Drosophila melanogaster: one gene and its partners. The protein of the gene in region 3 purifies or fractionates together with the protein of the main gene of each other region. This does not show direct contact. Each region holds a gene or a part of one and is shown on either strand. Other genes may lie near its edges.

Region 1 (9,508 bases), on a different chromosome or scaffold from region 3:
CTCTGAAAATTCAGAACTTAAAGTAGTCGTTGATTCCGGAAATTCCGTAGTACTTGGCATAAACTCTGTTGTTGTTGATTCCTGCAATCCTGTAGAGCTCTGAATGGTTTCTGTAGTAGTTTCTTGCCATCCTGTAGATAAATCTGGATAAATTAACGTTGATTCAGCATATTCAGTACTGTCTGAATTGCTTTCTGTCGTTGAATCTGCAGCTTCTGGACTCGAAGTTGTTGTGGAATATAGGGCTACTGATTCAGTGGCATCTATAGCATCTGTGCTGGTGACTTCCGGCCAAGCTGTTGTCGTGGAATATAAAGTATCCGTGGTTGAAGTTACATAACTAGATTCGGTGGTTGAATAATCCACCGCCGTAGTTGTAGATTCCTCAGTGGCACTTTTCTCCGTTGTAGTAGATACTTCCCCAGTGAAGTAGCCAGTAGTCTCCTGCGGATTGGTGGCCACCGTAGTTGTGTCCCAAAAATCTCCATCGAACGGATTGGTAAAATTTACGATGCGCGGCTTGTAGGGTGTGTAGATTTTGGCTTTGTAAGGCTTGTGGTTCTTGATGTATTCCTTGGCTATGCTAATCCACTCCTCGCGACCGAGAATATCGTTTAAATTTCGGCTTGAGGCCACAAAATGCGCCATTAAAAGAAGCAAACAGAATTTTCTCATTATGATGCTGATACCTTCGGTTGACACTTTCGACTAATTACCTTTGGCGACTGCAGTGCAATATAAACGCAAGGGTCTACCTACGTTTCAACGCGTATTTTAGCTACCTGCTTTCTTGGCAAAAACGTTAATTAGCCCTAATGAACTGGAAAATTCAAATGTTGCCGCCAGGGCTGCAAGCGCTTACTTTATTTGTGCTGGCAATGCCGTAGGTAATGCCGGCCGCTTAACAGCTGAGTGTTTTTCGGGGAAGAAGAAGAACAGCGTGTTTGCAGTCCGCGTTTTTGTGTAAAAATTGTGAATAATTATATTATTTGCAGTTTTCTTACGTTTTAAAGAAGAATTTAGCAATCAGAAGGTCCTGTAACAATTGGTAAGTCGGTAAAAACAACAAAAAACAAGAGTAGCATAAGTTTCGAGTCACCGTGAAAGTTTTAAATTTTCTAAGACGCCACCGGCAAATTTTGAATGAAAGTATTGATATATATATTTATTTTAGGAAAAACCATGGATTCCGATTTGTACGATGAGTTTGGCAACTATATTGGCCCCGATTTAGACAGCGACGAGGAAGATGAGCAAAGTATTTATGGGCAACCCGATGTGCAGGATGACCCAGAGGTATAAACGTGCAAAAAATAAAATAAAACTTATAATTAATTTATGGTGTTTCATTTAAAGGACGCCATGGACGAGGACGAGGTGGAGCCACAGGAGGACGAGGACAAGGAGGTGACCGCCGTGGTTTTGCACGAGGACAAACGCTACTATCCGTCAGCAGTTGAGGTCTACGGCCCGGATGTGGAGACCATTGTCCAGGAGGAGGACGCCCAGCCGCTGGACAAGCCGCTTATAGAGCCAGTGAAGAAGCTCAAGTTCCAGATCAAGGAGCACGTGGGCATCTTGACAGATGCACTGGTGGCCATTAGACGGACGAGGTGAGTTGGTCGCAGGCTCAAGGAAACCAATAGGCAGGAGAAACGCCGCGAGTTTATGGCGCGTAGGGAGCTCTCCAGGCCGAGATGTATTCCGTATCGAGTGGCAAACGATTTGGTCTGCCCGTCGCTGCTTTTAATTGCATTCTGAAGGATCTGACGGAACTGCTGCACTTCCTCCTCCGATAAAAGAGGGCTAAAGTCAAAAGAAACAACCTGTTGATTGGGTTTTTATTGGTTTCTGCCCGCCTCACCTGTGCTGTTTGTAAGGATTGGCTAGAATATTGCGCAGTTTGGGCAGCAATTTCTTTTTGCCCTTAGCTTCTTTCTGTTTTATGCTGGACAAACTCATGTTTACGATATAAACTAATAAAAAATAAAAAATTTCTGCTGAAAAATCAAACAACAATGTGTTTGGCTTTTGGCCAGTGTGACCGCGTTTCTTAGTTTAAAATAAGCCATAGCTTAAATCGCGTTGCCAATTGCTTTACGTTTTTATTTAAATTAAAACTCTTAATTTTTGCTTCTAAAAATTTTTAATCAAACTCTTAATTTTTATTTGCAATCATTTTCAGTACCAGTAAAGTTCCGGCTCCGTGTCCGAAGAGTACTTCAATTTTCTCGGTCTCTGGCGAACGTAATCTTCGACGAAATTCAATTGCCTTGGTGTTGTGGTTTCTACTTGAGTTTCTACTATTTCCGTTGTTGTTAAATTAAATCCAAATGGTGTTGATAATGTAGAACTTTCCTCTTCGGTGCTGTCAATCACTGCATCCAGATACGACGTGGTAGTTTCCACGCCCGGAGTCGTGGCAATGATTTCCAGCAAGGATGTAGTAGATTCCTGGGTTTCTGTGGTTGAAAACAATTCTTCTGTTGAAGTTTCTGCTGTTTCAGTTGTAGTTTGATCTGTGGATAATGCAAACGTGGATTCGTTCGGTTCTGTGGTAGAATCAGCAGATTCAGTCGTTGATTCCGGCAATTCTGTAGTGCTTGGATTGATTTCTATTTCTGTGGTAGTTTTTATTAGTTCTTTCTCTGAAAATTCAGAACTTAAAGTAGTCGTTGATTCCGGAAATTCCGTAGTACTTGGCATAAACTCTGTTGTTGTTGATTCCTGCAATCCTGTAGAGCTCTGAATGGTTTCTGTAGTAGTTTCTTGCCATCCTGTAGATAAATCTGGATAAATTAACGTTGATTCAGCATATTCAGTACTGTCTGAATTGCTTTCTGTCGTTGAATCTGCAGCTTCTGGACTCGAAGTTGTTGTGGAATATAGGGCTACTGATTCAGTGGCATCTATAGCATCTGTGCTGGTGACTTCCGGCCAAGCTGTTGTCGTGGAATATAAAGTATCCGTGGTTGAAGTTACATAACTAGATTCGGTGGTTGAATAATCCACCGCCGTAGTTGTAGATTCCTCAGTGGCACTTTTCTCCGTTGTAGTAGATACTTCCCCAGTGAAGTAGCCAGTAGTCTCCTGCGGATTGGTGGCCACCGTAGTTGTGTCCCAAAAATCTCCATCGAACGGATTGGTAAAATTTACGATGCGCGGCTTGTAGGGTGTGTAGATTTTGGCTTTGTAAGGCTTGTGGTTCTTGATGTATTCCTTGGCTATGCTAATCCACTCCTCGCGACCGAGAATATCGTTTAAATTTCGGCTTGAGGCCACAAAATGCGCCATTAAAAGAAGCAAACAGAATTTTCTCATTATGATGCTGATACCTTCGGTTGACACTTTCGACTAATTACCTTTGGCGACTGCAGTGCAATATAAACGCAAGGGTCTACCTACGTTTCAACGCGTATTTTAGCTACCTGCTTTCTTGGCAAAAACGTTAATTAGCCCTAATGAACTGGAAAATTCAAATGTTGCCGCCAGGGCTGCAAGCGCTTACTTTATTTGTGCTGGCAATGCCGTAGGTAATGCCGGCCGCTTAACAGCTGAGTGTTTTTCGGGGAAGAAGAAGAACAGCGTGTTTGCAGTCCGCGTTTTTGTGTAAAAATTGTGAATAATTATATTATTTGCAGTTTTCTTACGTTTTAAAGAAGAATTTAGCAATCAGAAGGTCCTGTAACAATTGGTAAGTCGGTAAAAACAACAAAAAACAAGAGTAGCATAAGTTTCGAGTCACCGTGAAAGTTTTAAATTTTCTAAGACGCCACCGGCAAATTTTGAATGAAAGTATTGATATATATATTTATTTTAGGAAAAACCATGGATTCCGATTTGTACGATGAGTTTGGCAACTATATTGGCCCCGATTTAGACAGCGACGAGGAAGATGAGCAAAGTATTTATGGGCAACCCGATGTGCAGGATGACCCAGAGGTATAAACGTGCAAAAAATAAAATAAAACTTATAATTAATTTATGGTGTTTCATTTAAAGGACGCCATGGACGAGGACGAGGTGGAGCCACAGGAGGACGAGGACAAGGAGGTGACCGCCGTGGTTTTGCACGAGGACAAACGCTACTATCCGTCAGCAGTTGAGGTCTACGGCCCGGATGTGGAGACCATTGTCCAGGAGGAGGACGCCCAGCCGCTGGACAAGCCGCTTATAGAGCCAGTGAAGAAGCTCAAGTTCCAGATCAAGGAGCAAGACATGCAGGAGACCACCTACGACATGGAGTTCATGGCCGATCTCATGGACACTCCGCCGCTTATTCGCAACGTGGCTTTGGTTGGCCACCTGCACCACGGCAAGACCACCTTTGTCGACTGCCTCATCCGGCAGACGCATCCGCAATTTGAGACCATGGAGGAGCGCCAGTTGCGCTACACGGACACCCTGTTCACGGAACAGGAACGCGGCTGCAGCATCAAGGCCACGCCGGTCACACTTGTCCTGCAGGATGTCAAACAGAAGAGCTACTTGCTGAACATCTTCGACACCCCGGGGCATGTCAACTTCTCGGACGAGGCCACCGCCGCCATGCGAATGAGCGATGGTGTCGTGCTGTTCATCGATGCCGCCGAGGGCGTCATGCTCAACACGGAGCGACTGCTCAAGCACGCGGTGCAAGAGCGCCAGGCTATCACCGTTTGCATAAACAAGGTGAGGGTTTGGCCTTAAGGTGACACTAAACTTTCTAATGGTTTCCTCTGACGTGCAGATTGATCGCCTCATCCTGGAGCTGAAATTGCCGCCCCAGGACGCCTACTTTAAGTTGAAACACATTGTGGAGGAAGTCAATGGGCTGCTGAGGTGATTACGTGATTCATACTCAACACTAATGATTTTACTAATGTGTAATTTTCTTACAGCACCTATGGCGCTCCAGATGACAATCTCTTAGTTTCGCCTATTTTGGGCAACGTGTGCTTCGCCAGCTCGTTGTACGGATTTTGTTTCACTCTGAAATCCTTTGCCAAGCTGTATGCAGACACCTATGAGGGAGTGGCTTACCTGGACTTTGCCAAGCGGCTCTGGGGTGACATGTACTTCAACAGTAAAACGTAAGTGCTGCCTAAATATCCAAATCATTTGCTAATACCAACTATTTTAATAGGCGCAAGTTCTCGAAGAAGCAGCCGCACAATTCGGCACAGCGCAGCTTTGTGGAGTTCATTTTGGAGCCCATGTACAAGCTGATAGCCCAGGTGGTTGGCGATGTGGACACCACTTTGTCGGACACTCTGGCCGAGCTGAATGTGCGCGTCTCCAAGGAGGAGATGAAGTCCAATATAAGACCACTGCTGCGTCTCGTCTGTAACCGCTTCATGGGCGACTGCAGCGGTTTTGTGGATATGTGCGTGGAGCACATTAAATCCCCTTTGGAAAATGCCAAGCGAAAGGTGGACCATATATACACTGGACCCAAAGAGGGTGACATTTACCGGGATATGATATCATGCAACCAATACGGCACTCTGATGGTGCACAGTTCCAAGATGTATCCCAACGACGACTGTACCTTCTTCCAAGTGCTGGCGAGGATTGTCTCTGGTACTCTACACGCTGGCCAGGAGGTGCGTGTCCTGGGAGAGAACTACACCTTGCAGGATGAGGAGGACTCTCGCATTCTGCAAGTCGGTCGTCTGTGGGTATTTGAGTCTCGTTACAAGGTGGAGTTAAATCGTGTACCCGCCGGAAATTGGGTGCTCATCGAAGGCATCGATCAGTGTATCGTTAAGACCTCCACAATTGTGGATATTAATGTTCCAGAAGACCTCTACATATTCCGACCACTGAAGTTCAACACCCAGAGCATTATCAAGATTGCTGTGGAGCCAGTGAATCCATCCGAGCTTCCCAAGATGTTGGATGGCCTCCGCAAGGTGAATAAATCCTATCCACTTCTCTCCACTCGAGTTGAAGAATCCGGCGAGCATGTTATTCTGGGCACTGGCGAGCTGTACTTGGATTGTGTCATGCACGATCTGCGGAAGATGTACTCCGAGATCGACATCAAAGTGGCGGATCCCGTCGTGGCTTTTTGCGAAACAGTTGTGGAAACGAGTTCCCTGAAATGTTTCGCCGAAACGCCGAATAAGAAAAACAAAATAACCATGATCTCGGAGCCACTGGAGAAGGGACTGGCCGAGGACATTGAGAACGGAACCGTCTGCATAAACTGGAACAAAAAGCGCATCGGCGAGTTCTTCCAAGTCAACTACGATTGGGATCTGCTTGCGGCGCGTTCCATTTGGGCCTTCGGTCCCGACTCCACGGGTCCAAATATCCTGGTCGACGACACCCTGCCCTCGGAAGTGGACAAGAACCTGCTGACCGCGGTTAAGGATTCGATTGTGCAGGGCTTCCAATGGGGAACGCGAGAAGGGCCGCTGTGCGAGGAGCCAATCCGTAATGTCAAGTTTAAGATTCTCGATGGCGTCATCGCCAACGAGGCGTTGCATCGAGGCGGTGGACAGATCATTCCAACAGCCCGTCGTGTGGCATACTCGGCGTTTTTGATGGCCACCCCACGTTTAATGGAACCATATCTATTTGTGGAGGTTCAGGCGCCGGCAGATTGTGTATCCGCTGTCTATACTGTGCTGGCCAGGCGCAGGTAAGTTTTGCTGCTCATGTTTCCGTAAGAGAATGCCTCTAAATTTTATATAATCTATTTTGCAGAGGCCACGTAACGCAGGATGCTCCCGTATCGGGTTCTCCCATATATACGATCAAAGCCTTCATACCCGCCATTGATTCATTTGGATTTGAGACGGATCTCCGCACGCACACCCAGGGCCAGGCCTTCTGCCTTTCGGTGTTCCATCACTGGCAGATAGTGCCTGGCGATCCCCTGGACAAGAGCATCATAATCCGGCCACTGGAGCCGCAGCAAGCATCCCATTTGGCCAGAGAGTTTATGATCAAGACGCGTCGCAGGAAGGGTCTGTCCGAGGACGTGTCCATCAACAAATTCTTCGACGATCCTATGTTGCTGGAGTTGGCACGCCAGGATGTGCTGATCAACTACCCGCTTTAGACTTCCCACAAATCAGGAATCGGGAAAACAAATAAAACATTTAGACATACTTTCCGAATTTCAATTGCGAACTTTAAAGGGAGTAGTGTTTTTTTTTACTATATTTACTAAATATTTATTTGAAGCCTTTTCGGGACAAATAATTTACAAAATAGTATACAGAAAACAGCTACAGTTGTGATAGTTTCTAGGACTTTACTCGCCATTGCCGTTCTGCAGGACCTCCGACTCGTAGCCTTCCTGCTCGGCCTGCTCGTCATCGAACTCCACTTCGTCGTCGGCGGTAGCCTCCTAAAGGAGGAAACCAATGGAAATCGTTTTTAGAGATACTTTGCAAGGATATGGAGGGATCGCTAACCTGGTACTGTTGGTACTCGGATATCAGATCGTTCATGTTGCTCTCGGCCTCGGTGAACTCCATCTCGTCCATGCCCTCGCCGGTGTACCAGTGCAAGAAGGCCTTGCGCCGGAACATGGCAGTGAACTGCTCGGAGATGCGCTTAAAGATCTCCTGGATGGCGGTCGAGTTGCCAATGAAGGTGGCGGACATCTTGAGCCCACGGGGCGGGATGTCGCAGACGGCCACCTTGACGTTGTTGGGAATCCATTCGACAAAGTAGCTGCTGTTCTTGCTCTGCACGTTGTACATCTGCGTGTCCACCTCCTTCATGGACATGGGTCCTGTTAATTATTGAGAGAGCGTTGAAACAAAATTGCCTTCGTACAATCTTCCTGTGCGCATTTAAACATTTACATCAAAAGACAAGTTCGCTTTGATGCGCCGGCGGAATCCCCAAATCCCTGAATATGAAATACTAAATGGCTTCCAAGTTCTGCCTGCGCACCTGGCCGGGCACCTGCACTGGGATCTCAGCTCGGAGCTTGGGAATGGAAACAGTGAAAAAGTCCCAGGAGGTAACTAAAAAAGTTGTTTAAATTCCTGCTCGCTGGCATTTTTTCCGCACATTTTTGTGATTAATTATTTTGCAAGTATTTCTGGCAGTCGGTCGGAGACGATAACGAATCCTGAGATGGTGACGCCGGATCTGGGCTGAACCTGGGCTAAGCTTGAGTGCGGGTGCGCTGGAACGCAGTGCAGGCCAAGTCACGTTCGGCATGATTAGTTGGGCCTGGGGGCCGTGTCAGGCGGCGGTCGCAATTCCCCAATGGATCTTGAAAGTAAATTTCTAATTACGCGCGTTTTGCGAGTCATCAGTCAAAAGCAAAGGGGCCAAAGCGGCGCGAGCGCACACAAGGAATAGCAAATGAAATATTATGCGGCACACTTTTGGGCGCCGCATCGCAGTTTATTAATTTAGGAATTAGCGCGAAAAAAAAAAAATGCGAAGCAACCTTTTCGGTGGGCGTGGCGAGGGCGGCATGCCACGATGCCATGGCTAACAAATTTGCGCTACGTGCGCGTTGACGGATTGCAGCCTTTTTAGCCGCCAGCCAGCGGGCATTAATCATTTTTAGTGGCGCCCATAAGTAGTAGGCCCAGTGCTCGGCTTTCGCTAATAAAATCGTCGCCAAAGCCAAGCCCCAGGAGTCCAAGGTGTTGGCCAGGGGCGGCTGTGTCGTTCTATTCTAAGGGGGTGTCCTGCAGATGCGGCTCAGATCTCTATCTATACGATGTCTTCCTTGTCAGACAGTCCTTTGGTTTGGTTTGGTAATACTACCACTAGTTTTGGTAATTGCTTAGTTTTCAGCCTTTCAATTTTTTTCTTATTCTAAAAACCGCTCCTTGCGGATCCCTTGATCCGCCCCTGATGGCTCGACTACGTGCCTGCGGGTCCGGAAAAGCGGCGGACAGGTGCGCCGCCGACTGCCCATGACAAAGTGACAAAGTTGACTGGGATAAGCCGGTGTGGGGGCTCCTGAATAAATGAGCGGATGGATGAATGAATGGATCCCTGTGTTTTCTGGCTACGCGTGAAAGTGTTTAGGGCTTCTTGTTAAATAACTATTTTTCTTTTCCCACCCCGGTGGTTTCATTCATCAAACGGCAGGACTCACCCCGGAAGATGCAGGCCACGGTGAGGTAGCGTCCGTGCCGGGGATCACAGGCGGTCATCATGTTTTTGGCATCGAACATTTGCTGGGTCAGCTCGGCCACCGTGAGGGCGCGATATTGCTGGGATCCCTTGGCGGTCAGCGGAGCGAATCCGGGCATGAAGAAGTGCAGACGCGGGAAGGGCACCATGTTCACCGCCAGCTTGCGAAGATCAGCGTTCAGCTGGCCAGGGAAGCGCAGGCAGGTGGTCACTCCGGACATTGTGACCTGGTTGGGTGAGGAAAAGCTACATTACTGTCAGAAAAAAATTACAGATTACATGGACTTCAAATTCTGTTCTTTTGATTTGATTGTGGGAAAGGTAGGGTGGACTTATTGCTCCTGGTGTGGACATCTGGTCATCATTATCCTCATCTTCATCTTTGCTTCACGTTAATGCTAAT
Region 2 (10,163 bases), on a different chromosome or scaffold from region 3:
GCTCATCGCAGACCACAAAAAGAAGCTGCAGAAGCAGCTACTAGAGTGCAACGAGCCGGCACTGCTGCTGCACCTGGCTGCACTGATCTTGTTCACCACGATCACTGGTAGCATTTTGCACGCGTCCGGAAAATTCGTTTCTGCCATACTGCAGCATATTCGCGGCTCACTAAACGAGGACCAGAATGCTCTGTTGCTTCGGTATCACGGTGAGTTTTTGCAACCATAATTTGCGTTTTACCTAATTCTTACATACATTTCAGATTTGGTCCTGCAAGTTCTGCAGGCCATTCCCGATAGCAATGAGTCAAAACTGGCCAACGAACATTTGCAGACAATGCAGAATCAAGTGGTGGAGCTAGCTCAAAACTTTTCACGTGCATCGATTTCTAAGGCTGATTGATGATGCTCCTATATTCCAATCTTTCTTCCCATGTCATTAAATTGCGTCTATGTAAATTGGTTCTGGTCTGCAATAGATTTTGCATTTGTTAAATTTTCATAGTTTATAAATTGTTTTTATTACTGCTATGCATGAAGTTACAAAACGATGAGCCTTAAACAGAGTTCCTAGCTTTATCACTTTCGAAGGTTTGGGTTGTTGGAAAAACGATTTAAAATTGATTAGTTTGGAAGGGCTGTTCTCCATTTAGTTTGTTAAGCTCAAGCTTGAATTAAATAAATCTCTTACGAAGCTACTTATATACAATATTTTCTAACAGACCGATATAAGTTGTGCATTTCTTTATAACGAGTATTTGATTGTTAGGATTGATGTGAGCGATGTTTGTCCCTACACTTTATAAACTATGTAGTCTTTGAAGTATTTGCTTGGCTTTATCGCTGGATTGCCTGCAAAAAGGGAAATGATTGCTTTTAACTCTCAAAAGTGAGTTTCATTACTTACATAAAGATTGGATTGCTTGCATCACAGTTCTCTAATGTTTGTTTAATATATCCTATAAAAAGTTCCATGTTCTTGAGGGTCTCGCTGTTCGGTAACAACCAGACTGTAGGCAGGGTATTTACAATGATGTAAGCTTTGTTTATGGCATCGTTTGGCGTGCAGACTCGCATAGCTAATAACAGGTAACGATTCAGAAGGGCTCCAATCGCCAGCTCACGCAGTAGCTTATCAGCCAGGATGCCCTGCCAGCTTAGGAAATTTCGAAACAGCTTTAGACCACTGCAAAACTGCCTCTGAAAGAATGAGGTCTTCGCCTCTTGCACTCTAAAGTTCAAACAAAAAGCGGTAATTAAGACCATGATGGCCAATCTTTTGCAAGAATAATATACTTACTGCTTTGGAAAAATGGGTATAAATACATCATTTTCTAGGGCTAACCGCATGCGTTCCATGATGGATTCAAACAGTTTGTTAAGCTGCTTATTTGTGCCGCTCAAGGGAAACTCGCGACCTAATCGATTGATGAACCCAACCAATCTCAGGGTCTGTGTGGTAGATAATGGATCCCAGCATTCTGTGACCAGAGCTAAAAAACATTCATTTATTACCCCGCTTCGCGTTTTTTTTTAATGTGTAAAACTCACCAGTCACCTTGGGCAGCACAATCTTTTCGATGAGCGCCGGCACCAGATTGATATCCGGATCGATTTTCAGCTGCTCCACGGTTTCATCTGCCTGGGAGGCATAAAGCATGCAGGCCTGATACCAACGCATATTTTCTATATCCGCATACACGTCCAGCAGTGGCGACCAAAGAACAAGTTCGTGTCGCACCAGCGGAGCCAAGACTTTTGGAAGGCACAGGCTAACAAATGCGTCCTGGTATGACGACATGTCAGTTTTACGCCAGGCAAAAAACTTCATTAGTATTAGCTCGATCTTGCTAAAGTCGTCGGTAACGTCTTCAAGGGCGTCCACCGACTGTGATTCTATCTGCGCCATCGTAGTCACACTCAGTTCCTGCTGTTGATCGGCAATTTCATCGTCGCTTGACATGCCATCCAGGTGGGACGAGAGCAGATCATTGCGCTCGCGCTCGCATCGGCGACGTGTCCTCCGACCCTCCCGTTCCGCTGCGCGGCGAACTTGTTCTTCATAATCAGGTGTTCGGCGGGAGGCAGCTGTTATAGGTTCTAAAAGCAGAAGATTGAACATATTAATATAGTTTAATAATCGAATTATTTTCCCTAAGACAAGACTAAAAACAAAATTCTCATACTTGCTGATTCGGCGATTTCTTTGGCCTGATCACGTACATCCTGCCTCCGTCTGTTTACCAAATAACGTTGATTTTTGCCATACTGTTGCAGTGCACGCTTCTCAAGATCGTATATTACTGGCGCTTTTTCCGAGAGGCAATCGACAAGGTCATTCACATAGCACTTTATTTCTTGGTAAAACTTGTACTTTGCGGCCGCTGTCGGTGCATTCTGCTGGCACTCTAACTGCTGGAGCTTTAATGCCTTTAGTTCTGTACTAATCCTGGCCATACTAGCGCTGTGATCAGCCGACCGCTCTTTAAGCTCGCTAAGACGCGATTGAATGGCAGCTAGGATTTCCTGAGGAGTTCGCAATGCTGTAGCCTTGGCCTTTTCCTTCTTGGTTTTGACGGATGATCGAACTGCTGCGGCTAAGTTGGTGCGCTCAAGGGCATTTTTAGCATAGGCCTGCTCCAGCAGAGTGGACGTGGACTGTGCCGCTGTTGAATCTCCGTCGTCCATGCCGGTTCCGATGCCCGACGGGGCAGGCTTGATCATAAAACGGGAGAGCACTGTTTCATGCTGAGAATGGACCAACTGGGCTGCCGTAACACCCTTGCGGATCTGCTGGTTTTCCCACTCGTTCATCTCGCGATCTGAATCTCCGTCGGTGGCTGCAGAGGAGTGAGCAAAGGTTAACAATAGTCTAAAAACTTCACCTGTAATTAGCCTGGCTCTGGTCACAAATCGGACTTGGTCCCTCTACATACAATCATTTTCGACAGCATAAAATTGCTCGCGCCGCTCTTCACGCTCTTTGCGTCCCGTAATATCGTTCATGTCCATGCGTTCTTCATCATCCGACTGATCACCCTCAACATCTTCGCAGGGCAGACGGTTGCTTAGCTTGGCCGGCTCCTTGGGCTCCTCAATAGGTATATAGTCGCCTGCACCTGGAATATAACACAAAGAGTAAGCCATCGCTAGTGTGGCAACGTGTCGAATCTTACCCTGTTCTCTAGCCCTTTGCCGACGTTTTCGGGCAGCGTGTATCATTGCTGCATCCGGAATGGAACCACTTTCGAGCATCTGTTTCAAATGTTCTGGCTTGGAGAAACGGTGACGCGTTTTGTCATGGCCACCATCCTCGGATTGCTGGTCTTCTTCATCGCTCATATCCTCCCGTCCAGCGCAAAGGGCAGCTCTACCGTTCAGAATTGCCTCGGGAGTCTCAGATTTCTTTACCACTAGCTGGGGACAAGATAAGTAAGTTTTATATTATTGTGGATTCCTAAAGGACTTCGATTAGGGTGAAGCATTGGTATTCATGCTGCTTTTGTGGAAGGGAAGACATGCGACTATCAATGGTGGGAAAATTACTATTTATGTGACTACGTTAGCAATGGCTTTGATTTTTGGTAATTCAAAAAATATATCTTTGAATGTTACATAATATTTAAATAGTTTTCTTCTGGTAAGGTCAAGTTGTATGCGTCAATTTATTATCAAAGAAAGAATGAGTTAGAATGTTCTGTGATAAATTTTCTAATTCGTGGTCATAGTTACAGTAGTAGTACTTAAAGATCGCATTATAATTGGAAATTTTATGTTGAGTGATAGTTGGATCGCAGATCCTAGACACTTCCCATCACTGACCAGTTAAAACGCCAAGCAAATCAACGTCTAAGCTACTAATATTTTAAAATTGGCACTTCAGACCAGAAAAACCAACTAATTTAATAACACATTTAAACTCATTCAGCCTAATCTTTGCTGCTAATTGTTCTACGATAATTCAATGTAATTTCTGATGTTGAAATTTCGTTAAACGGTATTATTGTAGAAGAAATTGAATAATAATAACCTTACCACAAAGTCGTCTGTGCGTATTTCGGTTTGGATCATATGATTATCACTTTTTTTACTTTTACTCTGATCGCTGGCACTTTTATATCTGCCAGCATTGGCAGGATTCGAGTTGGAATTCGGGGGACCCGATGATGGGCCACCGGACGACTCTAAATGCTGTGTACTACCATTTTCGCCCCCGGGATGTCCGCTGTTTTCCGCCCGTTCCTCGCGCTTCTTCTTGCGGCGTTCCTTGTCCAGCATGCGCATCACTTTCTTGCTATGCGACGACTTTCGCACCTGGAACACCTCGCCGTCATCCTCTGCAAAAGAATTGGGGATTTTGGCTCCATACTCTTTTTATATTCCGGTATCACTCACCATCATCTGCGAAGCTGAGCAGCGCCTTTGGCTTGCTGTTGTCCTCCTGCGGCTTTATGGCCTTCCGGCTCTTCTCTTTCTCCCTCTTGCCCGAAATTATGGGAGGCGGTGGCGCCTCCATTTCGGCGTCCGGATCCAAGGATGCGCCGTCCTCCTCTTCGTCAGCGTTGCTGGAGAACACGCGTCGCTGAATTTTCTTCGGTTTGCGAAAAAGCGACATTTTCCACGATGTTGTTGTTACTCTGCGATTTGTTTAATCAATGAAAAATCGGAAGAAAAGCGAATTTTCGCAAGATCTCTTCTTCTTGCTGTCGTATTGTAATAGAGATGAAAATCTTTCGATGTCGTTCTCGTGCTCACGTGAGTCACGAGCAGGGCTGGAACGTTAATTCTCGGTCCTCGGTCTAGCACTTACAAAACTTTTCTGTATTGAAAATATGAATAGCTTTACAAATTTTGAAACTATTGTAACAATTAAATAAAAATGTGATAAATACATTAATTTGTATACCCAGGGCAGCTACACATAAAACTGGTCTTATTAAAATATCGGCAAGAGCTTAGATGACTTTTCATCCCTAGATACCGACAACGGCCATCTCTAATCTCTGAATTCGGCGACCGCAGGGCGTTTCAAAACAGACCGAAAAGTCGTTAACTTATTGGTGCCTTGAGTCACAGAATCTCTAACATGGGCCTTAAAGGTTGTGAATTGCAATTGGACAACCCGTGGAACACCTACTACGCCGGTCAGACGGTCAACGGCCAGGTGAAGTTTACGTTCGACTCGCCCAAAAAAGTCCGAGGTAAGTGCGAATCCAAGTCCCAATTGTGGGCAGCGCTGGAGAATGCTAATTAAAACCCCAGCTGCTTACTATTACTCATAGGAGTGACGACACCTGTGTAAGAGTCAATGATTAATTGGAAATTTAGTAAATAAATATACATAGCACTTTCGTCTTCAATGTGCAGGATGTTCACTGGCTGTCGTTGGTAGTTTCCTTGCTAACTTCTTAAAATCCTGACGCAAAAAGCCGGCGCACCACCCACAAATGTCGGTTGCTCTTTCGGTGCCTAAACGACCTTGTTTTCAGAAAGCTGGCGGTTGTTAAACCCTCCAAAGAAATGCACTTTCTCCTCTTTTCAGTTGGGCGATAACAACTATAAATAGCTCCAAGTGTGAATGAATACAAAAGAAAGTAAATAAATATGTAGTACATTTGACGGGGGCATGTAACCTATGTGGCAAACATTCCACCATAATCAAATTTTGAGGTCACCAAACACGGGAGACAGATGCTGCCTGGTAGCGATGATGTCATCCGTTGAGTATGCCTTAGAAAGCTTTTCATATTATTTATAGCTAAAATTAAAGCGCCACAGTGACGTCGTCGATTGTCATTCCGTAAATACAGCCACTTGTTTCTCGTAGGTATTATCATTCGGTTCCTGGGAGAAGCCAACACCGAGTGGTCAGAGGAGAAGAGCGTAACCACCAGCGAGGGCAAGACCGAGAACGAGGTCACCCAACTGAAGGGGCATGAGGAGTACTTTAAGATCCAGTACTATCTGCTGGGCGGCAAAAACAGTAAGTACAAAAAACAGACCGGGAATTCACTCCCCGGTTGCCAGACCTTAGTTTATCTGAAAAGAATTGGAGGATTTAATTATTGAAAGTGTCTATTATTAAGCATAAATTTTTGTATTCTATGGTGTAAGAATTGGCCAAGAAGATTTTTGTTTAAAATTAAATTTGTCCTTATATGAATCGAATAAATGGGATTGCACTTCCTCGCTCTATATAAAATAATAACTAAATCTTGTAATTACTATACACCTTATAGCATTAATAACTTCTCCTTTTGAAACTACAATAATTTAATGTTTTTATTTAGCTTTATTAAATAATATACCTTGACAGACCCTTCCTCTGCGCGTAAGAATTGAAAACATAATAAGCTATAAGTGACCTTTTTAAAATGCTAAAAGTTAAATGTATGATTTTGCAGGCTCTGAGACGGAACTACCGCCTGGCACTCACACTTATCCATTCACCTGTGCTCTGCCGCCTAATCTACCCTCATCCTTTGAGGGCGAATTTGGCCATGTGCGCTATACCATCAAGGTGACGCTTGATCGTCCGTGGAAATTCGATCAGGACATGAAGATGGCGTTCACAGTAATAGCGCCCGTTGATCTAAATCTCAATCCTCGAGTCAAGGAGCCATTCAAGCTCGAGCTAGAAAAGTCATTCTGCTGTTTTTGCTGTCGCTCAGGACCGCTGGCTGTCATCACGAACATCCCGCAAACAGGATTCGTTTCGGGGCAGGTGCTGCCCATCACCTGCGAGGTGGACAACACCAGCAACGTAAATCTTACGGCAGTGAAGTTTGAACTGCGTAAGCTGGTCACCTTCCACACAAACCAGCCACGGAGCGAGAAGCGCGAGTCCAAGGTGATCATAGCCAACTTAAGTGTTGGCCCAGTCAATGGCGGCGAGTCTCGCACGTTTACGCAACAAATGGAGATTCCGGCGCTGCCACCGACCAACCTCCTCAACTGCGGGATTATCGCTTTGGACTACGACCTGCATGTGGAGTGCGAGGTGAGCGGTCCGCACCGCAATCTCACTGGCAAGGTGCCAATCACCTTGGGCACTATTCCATTGGCTGGCGTACGGCCACCTACTCAATTTACGGATGCTCCGTCGGCGGTTCAGTCCGAGGATCCATCGCTGGCGCCCACACAGCCAGTGAGCCCGGCGAGCCCTCCTGGCGGCGATGGCGTGGGTGGTGCTCTAGGCTGGAACGTGGCTGACAGTACTGGTGGTGGTTCACTGTATCCTAATATACGTGAGTATTAAAATTATGGAGTTTTGTGGATTTTCTTTTAAATTATAAAAGCTTCTTAGTAGGGTTATATATCTTTATTTATTAAAATATTCTATTTTCATTTTGCAGCGCCACCGCAGTTTGTGGAGACACAGTACCGGGCACCAACGATCGCCGGTAGGGACGACTCCGAGCATACGCAGATGATCGGCGACGGAGCCTTCGCACCTCGGTATCCGACTTTCCAGTTTAATAATGCCACAGCACCGCCAGCTAGCCAGTGATTGAATCTCTAAGCTAGACCCACAATGATATTCTTAAACTTTGATGTCGAACTATTTTCTTCTGGCTGTCTCTGTTTCTGGAGGGTTAGCTTTCGCAATTTTTATCGGCTTTGCATTTATGAAATATTAGCTTTCCGTCCAAATAGAAAGCATAAACAGGTGCAGTCAAAATAAAAAAGGTCTACCTATACAAAGTTTTTGAAATGCTTAACTTCTGTTTATAATTAAATAGCTTTCGGACAGTAAATACAAAGAATTGGGTCTTTATTATTTTGACTGCATCTGTGTTTAATTTAATAATCGTATAAATACGCACAATTGTCAATTCCGATTTAAACTGCTCAAATTTAATTTTTTCTGTTTTTTTTTAAGCCAGCAATAGTGCCTAAAACTGATGTACGACTATAATCGTAATAAAACACAAAAGATAATGAAGGTTTGATACATGGGCATAGCCAAATCCTGGGAGCCAAAAATGTGTTGAGCCTTGAGGAACTTGTTTTATACGGAGCATTGGGAGATTTAAGAACTTGGAATGATGGTGCTATCGTTCCATATTTACTTCTTCTTTTTCTTGCAGTATTCATTCAGTTCCCTGGCCTTTCTTGCTTTCTTCTCACACTTGCACTGTTCCTTCAGAGCTATTTTTTTGCATTTGGCCTTGAGGATCTTCATCTTCTTTTTCCTTTGTCTAAGCTTCTTTTCGGCTATTTTTTTGCATATCTGAAAAAGTCCTTCGGGATTGGCTTTCGGCTTCGGTGGTGAGGGTGGTGCGGCTTTAGATGGTGGAGGGGATGGATTAGCAGCTTTTGGTGGTTGGGCAGGAGGCGGAGATGGCGTTTTAGCGATCTCCTTCTTCACCTCCTTCTTTACCTCCTGTTTGATGTTCTCTTTGACATCCGTTTTAGCTACTGGAGCAGATTTGCTAGCATTCTTCTTAACTTGGGCTGCTTCCTTGAACTTGTATTTAGCGCATACATCAACTTCTTTTGGTTTTTGCTGTTTGTTGATTTTCTTGCACATTGCTTTTTTCGCTTTCTCTGCGCTTTCAGCCTTTTTTCTGTCCTGCTCAGCTTCTCGCAAGGCTTTGAGTCGGTCCGCCTCCAGCTTAGCGGCCTTTTCGCATTCCGCCTTCTCCTTGTTGGCCTTATCCTTTTTCGCCTGCTTGCGGCACTTTTGAATCGCCGCCATTTTCTTACACTGCTCTTTCATTTGCTTGGCCCGGGCTTTTGCGGCTAGGCCCCTAAGTTTTATCTGCTTTGCCTTCGCCTTCTTTCTCGCTTCCTTGGCCATCTTTGCGCACTGTCTCTTTAATTCGCAAAGATCTTCTTCAGGCCCTTTTTTGGCTTCCTCTTCGGCCCTTCTCCTGGCCTCCTCTTCTTCGCGTTTCCTTTCTTCTTCGGCTCTCTTTCGGGCTTCTTCAGCCAATCGGGCGCACTCTTGCCTTTCTTTTTCTTCTCGACACGCTCGTTTGATGGCTTCTATTTTCGCCTGCTTTTCGCAATTCATTTGATCGGCCATTTTCTGGATGGCCTTGTTTAGCTTTTCCAACTCTTCCTCCTCGTCGGGGCATTTCTTCTTACATTCTTCTTCCTGTTCACAATCTCCTCTTTCTTTTTTGACGCACTTCATGCATTGCTCTATTTCCTTCTTTTTCTGACATTTTTTCACCTTGGCCATTTTTTTACACTTTTTCATTGCGACCTTTTCCCTGCACTTGTTTAACTTTTTCTGAGCCTTAAACTTCTTGCACCTCTTTTTAAGCTTTTCCATGTCATCATCTCCATCATCGCCTTTCTTTCCACCACCCTTGCCACACTTCTGCTTCTTCTTACCCCCACTCGACCCTTTGCTGCACTTTTCTTTCCCAAACCCCTCGGCGGAACTGGCGGTTTCACAGAAAATTTCTCGCTTGAAGGACATCTCACCATCCAACAAATCCTTTCTCAAGATCCTCTGGTTCAGCCGCTTCTCCAGGTCTTCCAGGAACGCACTTCTCAACGGCTGATCGAGTCGATGGCTAAGTGTATCACAAGTACCTGAAGACAAAAGACGAGAATCATACATTTTTTTTGCAGAAGCATGAGTAAGTTTAGAAAACCGGCCTTCCTGGCAAATCAACACGCTCTGCAGCTCTTTCGGCGTTCTCCCATAGTCCTGTTTTGATTTCTGCACAAGATTCAGATCCTTCATGCATTTCACTATGTGATACATCCGGAGACACCTGCTACAATTGCAGACACGGAAACAGGCATCAGGGTAGTGGCTCAACGCCAGCGAGGCTCTTTTCAACATGTTTTTTATGCTTTGGTTCCAAAATTTAACAGATAATTTTAAGAACAAATCGGGTTAAAATGCAAAAACTAAGAGGATTTCGACCCGATCTGCGCCATTATGTTCCGAAAACTGGGAAGTAAATGGGCCTGTATTTGACGTAATTATCACAGTAAGTGTGTGAAATAGTGAAGTAGACTATTATTAAAATAATAATATTCTTATGCGGAGTCGATATACTGAATTTTTTTTATTAGGACGGCTAAGACAAATCATGACGGCATATACTGAAAATCCAGGTTTTTTATTGTTAAGCTACTCATTCTCAAGAAAGTCTTATTTGGCATAAGGTTGCATTTGACTATACGATATATACGGT
Region 3 (11,050 bases):
AGCTCCACGAACAGCTTCGCTAATGGAGGAGCCAATCGTGGCAGTAGCCATGGATCGGCAGTTTCTGTCAGCCGCTAAAAGCCAAGTTCACCATACAGGGAAAATACCTCCAAGTTAATCTATTTGTCAGCAATCCTATGTGCAAATATCTAAAAAATCCAAATAAATATTTATGATTGAATTGAATTTGAATGAATAATTTGAATGATTTTTTTAAAATCTAAACGGTTGCATTTTGATGATCCAGATTACAAATTACAACAAACTTGAATTGTTCCATACGAAATTTAAAAGCTTAAGACAATATAAGAATTGGCACTGTTGACTACAAAATATTTAGATTCTTGGTATCAACCAGCGAAAGAAAGTTGAAAGGTTTTTTTTATTTTGTTTTTTTTTTTTTTTGTACTACTTTATATAATTATCCTCAGTGTATCCTTGTACAATTTGGTTTCTACTAAAGTAGTACACGAATTTATTATTGCTACAATTAATGCGCGTAAATTGTAAAATGATTGATTTTCATTTGTGCAAACATGCCCAACTGATGATCCTAAAGAAAACTAATCTGACTCGCTTTCGCTTTCCGACTGGAAGTCACCCACTTCGATGGAAAACTTGTACTCCTGATCACAACCCAAATAGGAATCGCTCATGTAGTACAGAGTGTAGTCGTGTTTGCCCGGACTAGGTGCCACAAAGTCCAGCTTGACCTTTGCCTTTTGCTGCAGCGTGAGCCGTTTGATGGAGAGCAGGGAGTTGGTCTTGGGATCACCTATGACGACCCACCATCCTTCTTCGCGCTTCTGCGGGAAGAATGGAGCAATGACTGGGCCAGTGACCTCATCCTCACGTTCCAGTTGAACCACTACATTAACGGTTGATCCTGAGTTGATGCGATCCTTGTCCACCACCTCATAGTTCAGCTCAATGTTGGGGTAACGGTTGCAGAATCGAGCAACATCGGCCATTTGTAAATCGGAGAGCTGCAGCAGGCGAGTGCGATCCTCGTCCTCCAATTCCATGATATCGAAAACGGTTTCGATTTTCTGAAATATACGACGAAACATGAGATAATCCTAGAGATTCACTTGTTGTTACTCTCACCTTCTCTGTGCACCGCTTGACAATCTCGGGACTAAAGTGCGGCAACTGTTTCAAGTACGAGTCCTTGCTCCACATGGCCTGCGTGACCATCTGAGCCAGCTCCATGGCAGCCACAGCCGGCGACAGCCAGCCATTTGAACTCAGCACATCTACGCAGGCCTGAATGAGGCGGATGGCCTTGCTCAGTATCTGCTCCGTATCGCCTTGCAGTTCAGGTCCCAGTTGCAATCGCGAAAGATGAGCCTGAAGCAGCAAATTGGTCTTGATGTGCGGATCATTGAATCTAAAAATAACATTGGTAAAATTCTTTTTAAGATCTAAATGTATGGGTTGCTTACTTTGGAGCCGTTTCATTGGGTCCTGTGAGTTTGTTGGGCAGTCGCTGAGACAGCGTGCGCAGAACCTGCTCCTCATGATGCCTGACCACAACATCCTCGTACTCAGCTGCCGATGAAATAATTTCCAGCAGGCCCCGCACTTTTGTTTTGCTGTTGAGGGACAAACTGAAGAGCTCTGGGAAAAAATGATAGGAAAATGAAGATGACAATTGCCTAAACTTAAATCTAATGCTTCATACCGATAGTTGTGTAGTTGATGTAATAGTAGGCAGCAATCATGCCCAGATTGAGTGGCAGCGTGTCCATATCATCCTCCACGCTAATACACTTGGACTGTTCTAGATCGCTCAGCGTATTCTCCACCAACTCCGAAAGATGGTCGGAGAGATGGCGATGCGTGACACCCTGCAGATTGTAGTAGTTGGGATTTTGGGTCAATCGTCTGTAGAGGAACGTCCAGGTGAGATAATCAACGGCATCCTGTTTGTTCTCAATTGTCTTGGTGACCACCTCGGCGTTAAAGTGATCATGCATTCTATGATCCAAATGACTTTCGATGGGCAGCGGCTCGTTGATGAATTTCTTAAAGAAGTCCTTCTTGCTGCTCTGGCACATCAGCACGCATTTGGCATCCGCATCCTCGTTCGGCCGATTGGCTCGACCAATCATTTGCAGCACGTCTGTAATGGGATAGTCCTCATACGAATGATTCTTGCCATTGTAAAATTGTGTGTCCATGATGATCACCAAGTGAGCGGAGATGCTCATGCCCCAGCAAAGGTCTCTGGAGATAACAGCTACTTGCACGGCGCCAGAGTCAAACAGCTGCTCCACCAGGCGATGATCTGAGGCGGATAGGCCCTCATGGAGATAGGCCACTCCTTGCGCTAGGGTCTCCTTCAAAGTTTTATCCGTCATTCGTTCGAGGAACGGCTTGATGTCCTCCTCCTCAGCATGGAAAAAACGGTTGGGTTGCAAATCCGATGCTGCGTAGGTCAAAACATCAATTGCAGTGAGCCTGGCCTGCTTTCTGGACGAGACAAACACAATCACCGGCTTGTGGGCGCTGTACTTGAGGATGGCATTGTAAACAGGCTTGGACATCGTAGCAATTCTGGTGGCGTTGTGAGTGACATTATAGCCCTGGATGTGCAGCTCCAACGGAATGGGACGCACGCTGGGGTGGAAATTGAAAGTGGCATTGGGATTACAGCCCAGCCACTGGGCGACATCCCTGGCATCCGTTAGCGATGCAGACAACGCCACTATTCTGATCTGTTTCTCAATCTGCGAGCTAATGTATCGCATCCTGGAGCATACAATTTCCAAAACGGGACCTTCTTCGCCACCAACCAACTGCAGTTCGTCCACAATGAACAGGTTCACCAATTGTACGTTCTTCCTCTGTTTCCATCTGCGAGACAACACATCCCACTTATCCGCAGTAGTGATCACCAGCTGTCCCTTGGCTATGAGCTTAAGATCGGTTCCAGTTTCGCCGGTCAATTTAACCACTTTTATGTCCAGGGATCCAAATTTGCTATGCCAATCCGCAAAAACTAAGTCCGCCAATGCCTCCTCCGAGACCAAATATACACATCGGGCATCGGATTGGGTAGTGAACAAGCGCATGATGGCAAACTCTGCAATAGTCATCTTTCCGGATCCGGTTGGTGCTCCAACAAAGACATTCTCATCACTATTGTAGACTGCGTTGAAGACCTGTGTCTGAATGGGATTGAATTGCGGGAAGCGTTGCGAATAAAAGGATTCAAACTTCGGCTGCCGGAGTGCACTAATAGGAAGCGGTTGGAGATCCAAAAGCTCCGTAGGTGGCATATTCTTCTCGGGCAGAATCAAGTGTCGGAAAGAAACTGGTAATTGGGTCTCTGCACCTATCCAACGATCTGAGACAATGCGAAGGAAGTACTGCGGTGGCAGAGGTTCAAAGACAGGCACAAAGAACTTAAGCTGGTGCTCATCTTGGGAATACTTCTGCTTCAGCAGGAAAAACTCATGATGGAGAATGAGTTCCGAGTCGACATCTTCAATTAAAACCCAGAAACCTTCCGACTGGCCATGCACCTTTTCATCCCATTGGAAATCCGGTGTAATTGTTAGTTCCACTCTCAGAGTTCCCCTTGTTATGGGTTGAATGTGCGTGGAGAGCTCCAATTTGGGGAACTGGTGCACAAACTTGTGGATGGTCTTTCCTAGCTTGGGCACTCTAATCAGCTCACCAAGTTCATGTGGCTCTAGATCGTAAAGCCTGCCCCAGGGGAAGTGTTTTTTCTCCAGCTTCTTGGCAATCTCATCGGGCATCTTCTTGAACTGCCTAAGTGGTGTCATCGATTGCCACATTCTTCTGTCGATCATCTTGCAGAGCGTCAACGTTTTGTCCGCCAATTGAGCCCATCCGCGGGTCAATACAATCTCAAAAATGGCTCTCATTAAACGGGCAGCGGATTGGGTAATAAACACCATGTCCGACATCAATGCAAAGCCCTCCAGTTTCAACTGGGAGATATAGGCTTGCAGCAAAACATTCACCTTGGCACTGTGCTCTTCAATGGACTCCTTAATGGGAATGGGCACTCGTTCCATGAGCTTCTGCAGCTCCAACTTTTCCTCTTCTCGGACGGAAATATGCCGGAATTCCGAGGATAGGGAGAATACGCGGAACAACTCAATCTCACTAAGAGTTTGCTTAAGGAGCTGGTTGTAAGTCAGCATGGTTTCATGGGTTAGGTAATAGTGAGAGGCAATGCGTCCCAGATCAGTAACCTGAAAGTGTCCCGTCTTCCGATCGTATTTAATAAGGCCACTTCTCTCCAGACAGCAAGCTGCGGTATGCAGGAGATCAGCACGATGCTGTTCCAACAGAGGATCAGCCTTGATGGCATCATGGGAAACTCCGTACAACGTGGGATTCCTCAGCATTCTAATGTACAGATAAGTGTAGCCCAACCAGTTAACTGCATCCTGGAGATGTTGGACCGTTCCTAGCACAATCTCCGCATTGAGCATGTCAGGAAGCTTGGAGATGAATTGGGACTCAATCGGCAACTGCTGGTTGAGCAAGGAGAGATAGAACTGCAACTCACTGTGATTGGTTATAAGAATACCCTCACCCTTGGTATCATACTGCGGTCGTCCAGCACGACCCAACATCTGCAGTACATCCAAAGCACTCAGCTCCACCCAACGTCCTTTTTCCGGATTGTATACCTGCGTGCCCTTGATGATTACAGTATGGGCAGGGAGATTGACACCCCAAGCTAGCGTGGCGGTGGAAACCAAAACTTGAATGTGCCGATCAGCAAATAGATCTTCCACCAAAGTACGATCGACGCGGGTCATTCCAGCATGATGAATGGCGAAGCCGTAGGGCAATAACTCCTTAAGCTCTGTGTTCTTTACTTGTTCGGCTTCAGTCCGCAGCACTTCCATGCTTGCTGATCCTTCCTTAAGAAAGCTACCAAGGGTATCCTGCTCCAGGCACATGTCCCTCACAGCCCTGGCCGTTTTTCCAGTCTCCTTGCGCGAGTGTACGAAGACCAGGACCTGATTACGCCCAGCATGCTCCATGGTCTTCTCATAAACGATCTCGTTCATCACCTGGAATCGCTTTAGGGCCTTCTTCTCCGTCACACCGATATACTGCTGCTCCAGGGACACAGGCCGATAGCTGTTATCAAAGTAGAAGAGGCCTTTATCGGGCTTTACGCGTAGGAAGGTGGCCACGTCCTGATAGTTGGGCAGTGTGGCAGATAAGCCCACCAATCGCACCTCCTCCTGGGTAGTTTCAATATTCCTTATCGTACGCGCCACCAGGGCCTCAAGCACCGGACCACGCTCGTCGTGGAGCAAGTGAATCTCATCGATGATAACCAACCGGACTAAGCTCACAAAGGTACGCTCGCCTCCCTTTCGAGTGATGATATCCCACTTCTCTGGTGTGCACACAATCACCTGCGTGGCGGCGATCTGTTCCCTGGTCAGCTGGTGATCTCCAGTCAACTCAGAGACCGTCAGATTATAGCAAGCAAGACGTCGTCCAAAATTGCCAACCATTTCCTGCACCAGCGATTTCATGGGAGCCACGTAAATGATTTTGAAATCCTGCGCATTGATGGTGCCATCCTCGTTGATGTGCTTTCCAATCTCCCGCATCATGGTTAGCAGTGCCACATTAGTTTTACCAGCTCCAGTAGGGGCGCACAGCAGCATATTCTCATCACTGTCCAGTGCGGCCTTGTACAAACGACTTTGGATACGATTAAGGGTCTTGAAACCCTCGAACACAGGCTGCACATATTTCGGAAGCTTGTCCACAGGCTGAAGTTCCTCATTGGCATCAAATGGCACGGGTTTCAGTGCAGGCACGTGCACCTCCTCGTAGCCCTTTCGTTGTTTCCTGTAGGAGCCGTCGGGAAGCTGACAGCGCTTGTTGGCCATAAAGTGAGATCCTTGAGTGAATGCCATCTCTTCCAACTCGAGTAGCTGTCGCACACCGGCCACCTGCCCGGCAGCCGCCGCTCCACCATCCTCTGCATCGCCTTTGCCACGCTTGCTTCCCCGTGCTTCGCCCTCCTCCTGATCCTCTGACTTTCCCGTATCCAATTGCCGAAGGATTTTGGCCAACGCAGAATTTCCGCGCATCTTCTCGCGAATCCTTTGCCGCTCGCTGTCCGTTTGGGCCGAGGCGAGCATGGTGCAGTACAGGACCATCTGCCGGTTAAGCTTCAATTGCTTAATGAAGTCAAAGCAATCGTAGCCCAGCAGAAGCACCAATTGATTTTCGCAATCGCGATCGTCGGCGGCATCTTTGAGGATCTTCAACACATCGGCGGCTTTGCTTTGCGACACCATGGCGTCCTTGTAGAACTTGCTCAGACAACGCTGCAACCAATACGCATCTATGTCCAGAGGATGCAAGGAGCGCTCTTTCTTTACATTATTTGCGGCTTCCTCGTTGGCTAGCTGGGAAGGGATACACGAATAAGAAATGGGATTCGCAATTTTAACTACATTACTCACATTCTCTGCATGCAGTGTGTGATCAATGCGGGCCTCCTCTCCTTCATCCTGGGCATCATCGTCGCGAATCTCGCCATACATGTCGTTGTCGCTCTCCTCTTCGGATTCCTCAAACTGAACATTGATGCCGTAGGTTTCATCGATCTGCTCCTCGTTGTTGGGAGCAGCAGTCAAAGCATTCACGGCATCGCTGCCAAAGTCTGTGATTTTTTTGCCCAGGTTAACCAGCAGAGCGAATCGCTCATCTGTAACTGCGCCCAGCAAGCTGTCTATATCCTTCTTTCGCTCCCGATCCTTTAAACGATCGTTCTTGAGGACAGCCAGAATCTCATCAGCGGCACCGCACAGGATATCCCTGGGCTGATCCCCCAGAGCCTCCTGGATGAAACTGAGCAGGACCTCGTAGGTCTGACGAGTTTCCTGGGTCTTGGGTCGATACACAATGCCCACCATCTCGTCAATGCCCTCGGAGAGCAGAGTGGCTCCCTTCATCCGCTCGAAATCGTACTGGGCCTCGTCGCGCTTCTGACGTTTCACCTTGCGCTCCTCCGTTTTCTCCGGCTTCGTTCGCTGGTACCGATCTCCCATCCTTGTTCCGTCCAGCTTTCCCACCAGGGAACACACCTCGCCAGTGGCCTCATCGCGGCGCGGACGTTCGATGAGTCGGACATCGGCTTGCAGCACAAGATTGGAGTTCTGAAAAATGGAAAATACATTTAACGTGTTTGTGAAATTCTGGTGAGACGCCGCATGGAGTGGGAGAAGTTTTCCCGGGCGGGATTTGACACTTACCGCCTTGTACTCGTATTGCAGCTGACGTGCTGCGGCATCCGCCATGTCTGTTTAGTTGTTTTTATAAGTATTAAGCACTTTTATTAACCTATTTTACAACTTTTTGCGGAAATATCGTAGTGAAAAGCCGCTGTTTGTGGCTACGCGTGCTGCCAGATTGTCAAAAGGCTAAAGAGATGCCATATGTGCGAAGCCAACTGAAAATCGATATCAGGGCTGCCATTTGTAGGAAACCTATCGTTAGCGCGCGCATCTAAGTTTTTAAAAATGTAGCCCATCAACATTCTATTTAAAATTTGAATACTGGTTTTTTAGCTTTTGTAAACACCAAAATTTCCTACGCACTAGCAATCCACAAAAGAAATTGCTATAAATTTGACCATAATTCTCATAATTGAGATATATCTAGTATATTTTAAGTTCCGAACTGCGGCTTCGGTCACACTGGCGGCGACGTCGGCAGCGATGCCGACGTCTATTTACAACGCATCGTTTTGTTTATTGTTCAGTCAGATCAGAGTAATGTGCTTATATATGAGGCTGCAGCTGGTTTAACTGGAAACATTTGTGGTCCGTCGACTGCTCGAGATCATTGTACACGGCTGACACAATTCATTACAAAGCAATCGAAGGTAAACCAGTGAAGAGGAACAAGTGCCAGCATGCTGCTGCCCCCGTACCAAGAAGCCTGCAATCCCGGCTTCTGTGATTGCCCGTTTCCCAACTCCATTGAGGTTACCAACCACAAGGGCCATATACCCGACCTGGTCAGGTGCCAATGCGGCGAGGATGAGTCCGGAAACGTGAATGCCTGGCGGTGGCACGCCACTGATGAATCGGATGCCGTGGTCACCGACCGGGACATCATCTTCCATCCCACCTACAGTCAGGGCACGGCGATTGTGAGAGGGGAACAGGCCCTAAAAACAAACATGGTGCACTTTTGGGAGATGCGCGTCATCACGACTCTGGCCGGCACGGATGTGGTTAGTTATCAGGCCGGCTTGGCAACTAGTTGGGATGCTCAGCATGATGAATGTCACTCAAAGTCGCCGCCTTAAAATAGAACACAACTAACCAGGCATCTGGTGTGCTCGTTTCCATTGGAGACGACTTGATTGTTCGCTTCGTTGTATTATGGATTACAGATTACAACGCGGCGATAAGATAACAGACGCAGCGGGAGGAGGAAATCTCAGCAGACACCCCAACTAGATGATAAGCCAGCTAAAGTTCAATGTAAATAATGTTCTCTTTATAATTGCCTTTCTTTTCTTATAACTTTTCCTAGATGTTCGGCATCGGCACGGAAAGCGTTAATCTAGGGCAGTTCAAGTTTCACTTTGTCTCGGCCCTGGGCACCAATGCCCAGTCCTGGGGCTTTTCGTATTCCGGAAGGATTCAGCACTGTGGCGAGTTACTGCCCTACGGCCAGAAGTTCTCGCAGGGCTGCTTGATTGGTGTCTGTTTGGATCGAACGCGTGGGCACTTGGAGTTCTATTTGAACCGCAGATCGCTGGGAGTGGCCTACACCAATGTCCCGACGGATCCGGATGTCAAAATATATCCCATGGTCTGCTCCACAGCCGCGAAGTCCGTAATTAGGCTGATCAACTGCACTTCGCAACCAGTCACACTGCAGCTGCGATCTTTCCAAGCATTGTCCAGGCAGCCGCTCAAATTGGCCGAACTGCGTCAAATGCCGGGTCTCAAAGGCATCATGCAATCCTACTGGTTCCTGGCACCGCCAATTCGTTACTCCCGGAACTCCCGCGAAAACGAATTGGATCTGGGCGACGAAGCAGTGCTCTCAAGCTCCAAGCAACGGTTGAGGCGCAAACAAAAGTACCGAGGTGAGGTCACGAAGTTACGTCCACTATCATTTCTGCCACATCACTTTTGCAATTTCAATTAATAGAAACCGACGATGCGGCTGTTGATGAGGACGACTTGTACGCCAATGCACACAAAATCACGTTGCGAAGCAGTGATAGCGGCGACGAGGAGCACACCGCTAGTGTCCACGAGATGTGCGACGAGTACTTCCACTACCTGCTTTAGTCTTACCAAGCATATCAATATGTTTAAGTATGCATTTATTTGAAGGAGCTTAGTTATAAATGTAATAAGTAGAAATGCTGAAGCTAATTTTAATTACTGTAAGACTTCCTAAAATACAACTTATTAATTAAACGAAACATCATAATTTTCCCATTTTGATATATTTAAAACCATTTCCTTTATACGCTAGCAGCGATGTATTCATTTAGGTACCGATTTAAATAAGATCTTTGTTACTAATTCCAGCCTGGTCTAGGTTGAACAATCTCTCAAGGAGCAATCCGCCGTCCATTAATGACAAGTTTTTCGATTTACTTTATGTTAGGTATGCATTTATTTTAAAGCACATAATTATACAATCAATAGAATTGGGAGAAATAAATGGTGTGTGCGAAAATAATTGAATAGGAAACTTAATCGAGAACCTACAACTAGAAAATTAGTATAGATAAAAGTGATAGCATGATAGGTTAGATGGTTAAAAAAACCCGTAGGCTAGGGTTTTGGTAAGCATCGTCCTTGAAAGTAAAACTTAAACTAATTAATAATCAATTGCCCATGCCTTCGACATCCGACGATCCGCGCTTGAAGATCACTCCCAACGGTAGCTAGTCCATGTCATCGTCGTCATCGTCTGAAATAGTGTACTTCTTTTGGGAGCGCTTGCGACGCGTCTGCTTCTTGGATGTGGTAGCCGCTCCGCTGCTCACATTCGACGATGATTGCGTGGGCGTAGCGGGCGCACTAGCCAGAGATTTGTTCAGTTTCAGCTTCATTTTGACAGCCGCCGCTGAAGTGGTTGCAATCTCCTCGTCGTCGGAGCCGTCATCGCCACCATCGTCGTCGTCGTTGTCCGAATTATCCGAACCTCCATTGCCGTGCGCTTCACCCGTGTTATCTCCGGCTGCCACTGCGGCTGCATCCGCTGCAGCTGTTATCCTCTGCCTGGCCCCAACGAATACCTTTTGCAGGGCAATCGAGTCCAGGTAAATCAGAGACGCCTCTTCGTTGTAGATCTGTGCATTCTGGCATAGCTGCATAAAGTCCTTCTCCAGCTCGTTGAGATCGGCATACTTGCAGTCCTCAATGCGCTGCAGGATTTTCTTAATATCAACTGGCCGCTTAATGATCTCGTAGTAGTCGGGCAACCTCTGCCGCGAAGGCAACTTCATGAACGGTTCGGACAGGGTTCGTCCATCTTGGTTGTGCTTGATAACCGCACTCATAATCTTGTGCATCTGCTTCTTGGACCGCTTGTCCAGATTTTGGCGTCGTCGCCGTTTTAGGATCAACGAATCATCGTCGGACTCTTCCTTCCGATTCTTACGCTTTCGTCGCTTGCGCTTCGAATCGTCTTCCTCCTCTTCCTCGTCGAACTCAGCGCCATCGTCGATGGCTTTCAGCCACTCCTTTTCAGTCAAACTATCGGTGTAGTCTACTTCCTTTCGCTGCCGGGAGCCTCGACCTAAGGCGGAATAGTTATCGTAAGAAAAATGTTTAAATAACAGCGAGCAGTGTAACTCACCTAGAATGGTATCCTCGTCGTACTGATAGTGGAAACGCTCTACTTCGTCATCATCCTTTGTCAACCAGTCGGGTAGCTCGGACTCATCGATCAGACGTTCCCTACCCGGATGGATCTCCTCATCCTCCTTCTTGCGCTCAGCATCCATGCGCTTAAATATTTCAATCTCCTCCTCGCTGCGGGCGAT

The links.
Region 1: the proteins of Brr2 (region 3) and CG4849 purify together in Drosophila melanogaster (affinity purification with mass spectrometry, with the first as the bait; one large-scale study listed by BioGRID). This does not show direct contact.
Region 2: the proteins of Brr2 (region 3) and CG1965 purify together in Drosophila melanogaster (affinity purification with mass spectrometry, with the first as the bait; one large-scale study listed by BioGRID). This does not show direct contact.

What each region holds. Positions count from the first base shown.
Region 1 is NT_033777.3:27,959,860-27,969,367, forward strand, and holds CG4849 (uncharacterized protein), read left to right. Parts: upstream 1-3,555; 5' UTR 3,556-3,694; intron 3,695-3,820; 5' UTR 3,821-3,828; coding exon 3,829-3,942; intron 3,943-4,002; coding exon 4,003-4,671; intron 4,672-4,729; coding exon 4,730-4,821; intron 4,822-4,880; coding exon 4,881-5,072; intron 5,073-5,125; coding exon 5,126-6,628; intron 6,629-6,693; coding exon 6,694-7,051; 3' UTR 7,052-7,099; downstream 7,100-9,508. Other genes in the region: CG31253 (uncharacterized protein), read right to left, coding at 1-675; CG31131 (uncharacterized protein), read right to left, coding at 2,182-3,321; betaTub97EF (beta-Tubulin at 97EF), read right to left, coding at 7,247-7,342, 7,410-7,732, 9,068-9,332.
Region 2 is NT_033777.3:7,061,962-7,072,124, reverse strand, and holds CG1965 (uncharacterized protein), read right to left. Parts: upstream 4,725-10,163; 5' UTR 4,616-4,724; coding exon 4,396-4,615; intron 4,338-4,395; coding exon 4,036-4,337; coding exon of another isoform or gene 4,031-4,035; intron 3,418-4,030; coding exon 3,177-3,417; intron 3,120-3,176; coding exon 2,937-3,119; coding exon of another isoform or gene 2,929-2,936; exon of another isoform or gene 2,841-2,928; coding exon 2,187-2,840; intron 2,101-2,186; coding exon 1,552-2,100; intron 1,494-1,551; coding exon 1,301-1,493; intron 1,232-1,300; coding exon 908-1,231; intron 853-907; coding exon 801-852; 3' UTR 501-800; downstream 1-500. Other genes in the region: Ufl1 (UFM1 specific ligase 1), read left to right, coding at 1-209, 264-403; CG1105 (uncharacterized protein), read left to right, coding at 5,087-5,201, 5,828-5,983, 6,405-7,247, 7,356-7,510; Mst84B (Male-specific transcript 84B), read right to left, coding at 8,069-9,805.
Region 3 is NT_037436.4:15,960,431-15,971,480, forward strand, and holds Brr2 (Brr2 U5 snRNP complex subunit), read right to left. Parts: upstream 7,443-11,050; 5' UTR 7,323-7,442; coding exon 7,278-7,322; intron 7,182-7,277; coding exon 6,486-7,181; intron 6,429-6,485; coding exon 1,685-6,428; intron 1,621-1,684; coding exon 1,446-1,620; intron 1,391-1,445; coding exon 1,108-1,390; intron 1,050-1,107; coding exon 564-1,049; 3' UTR 406-563; downstream 1-405. Other genes in the region: CG17032 (uncharacterized protein), read left to right, coding at 1-78; CG10516 (uncharacterized protein), read left to right, coding at 7,940-8,263, 8,569-9,130, 9,196-9,338; brm (brahma), read right to left, coding at 9,947-10,803, 10,864-11,050. UniProt on the Drosophila melanogaster protein: Catalyzes the ATP-dependent unwinding of U4/U6 RNA duplices, an essential step in the assembly of a catalytically active spliceosome. Plays a role in pre-mRNA splicing.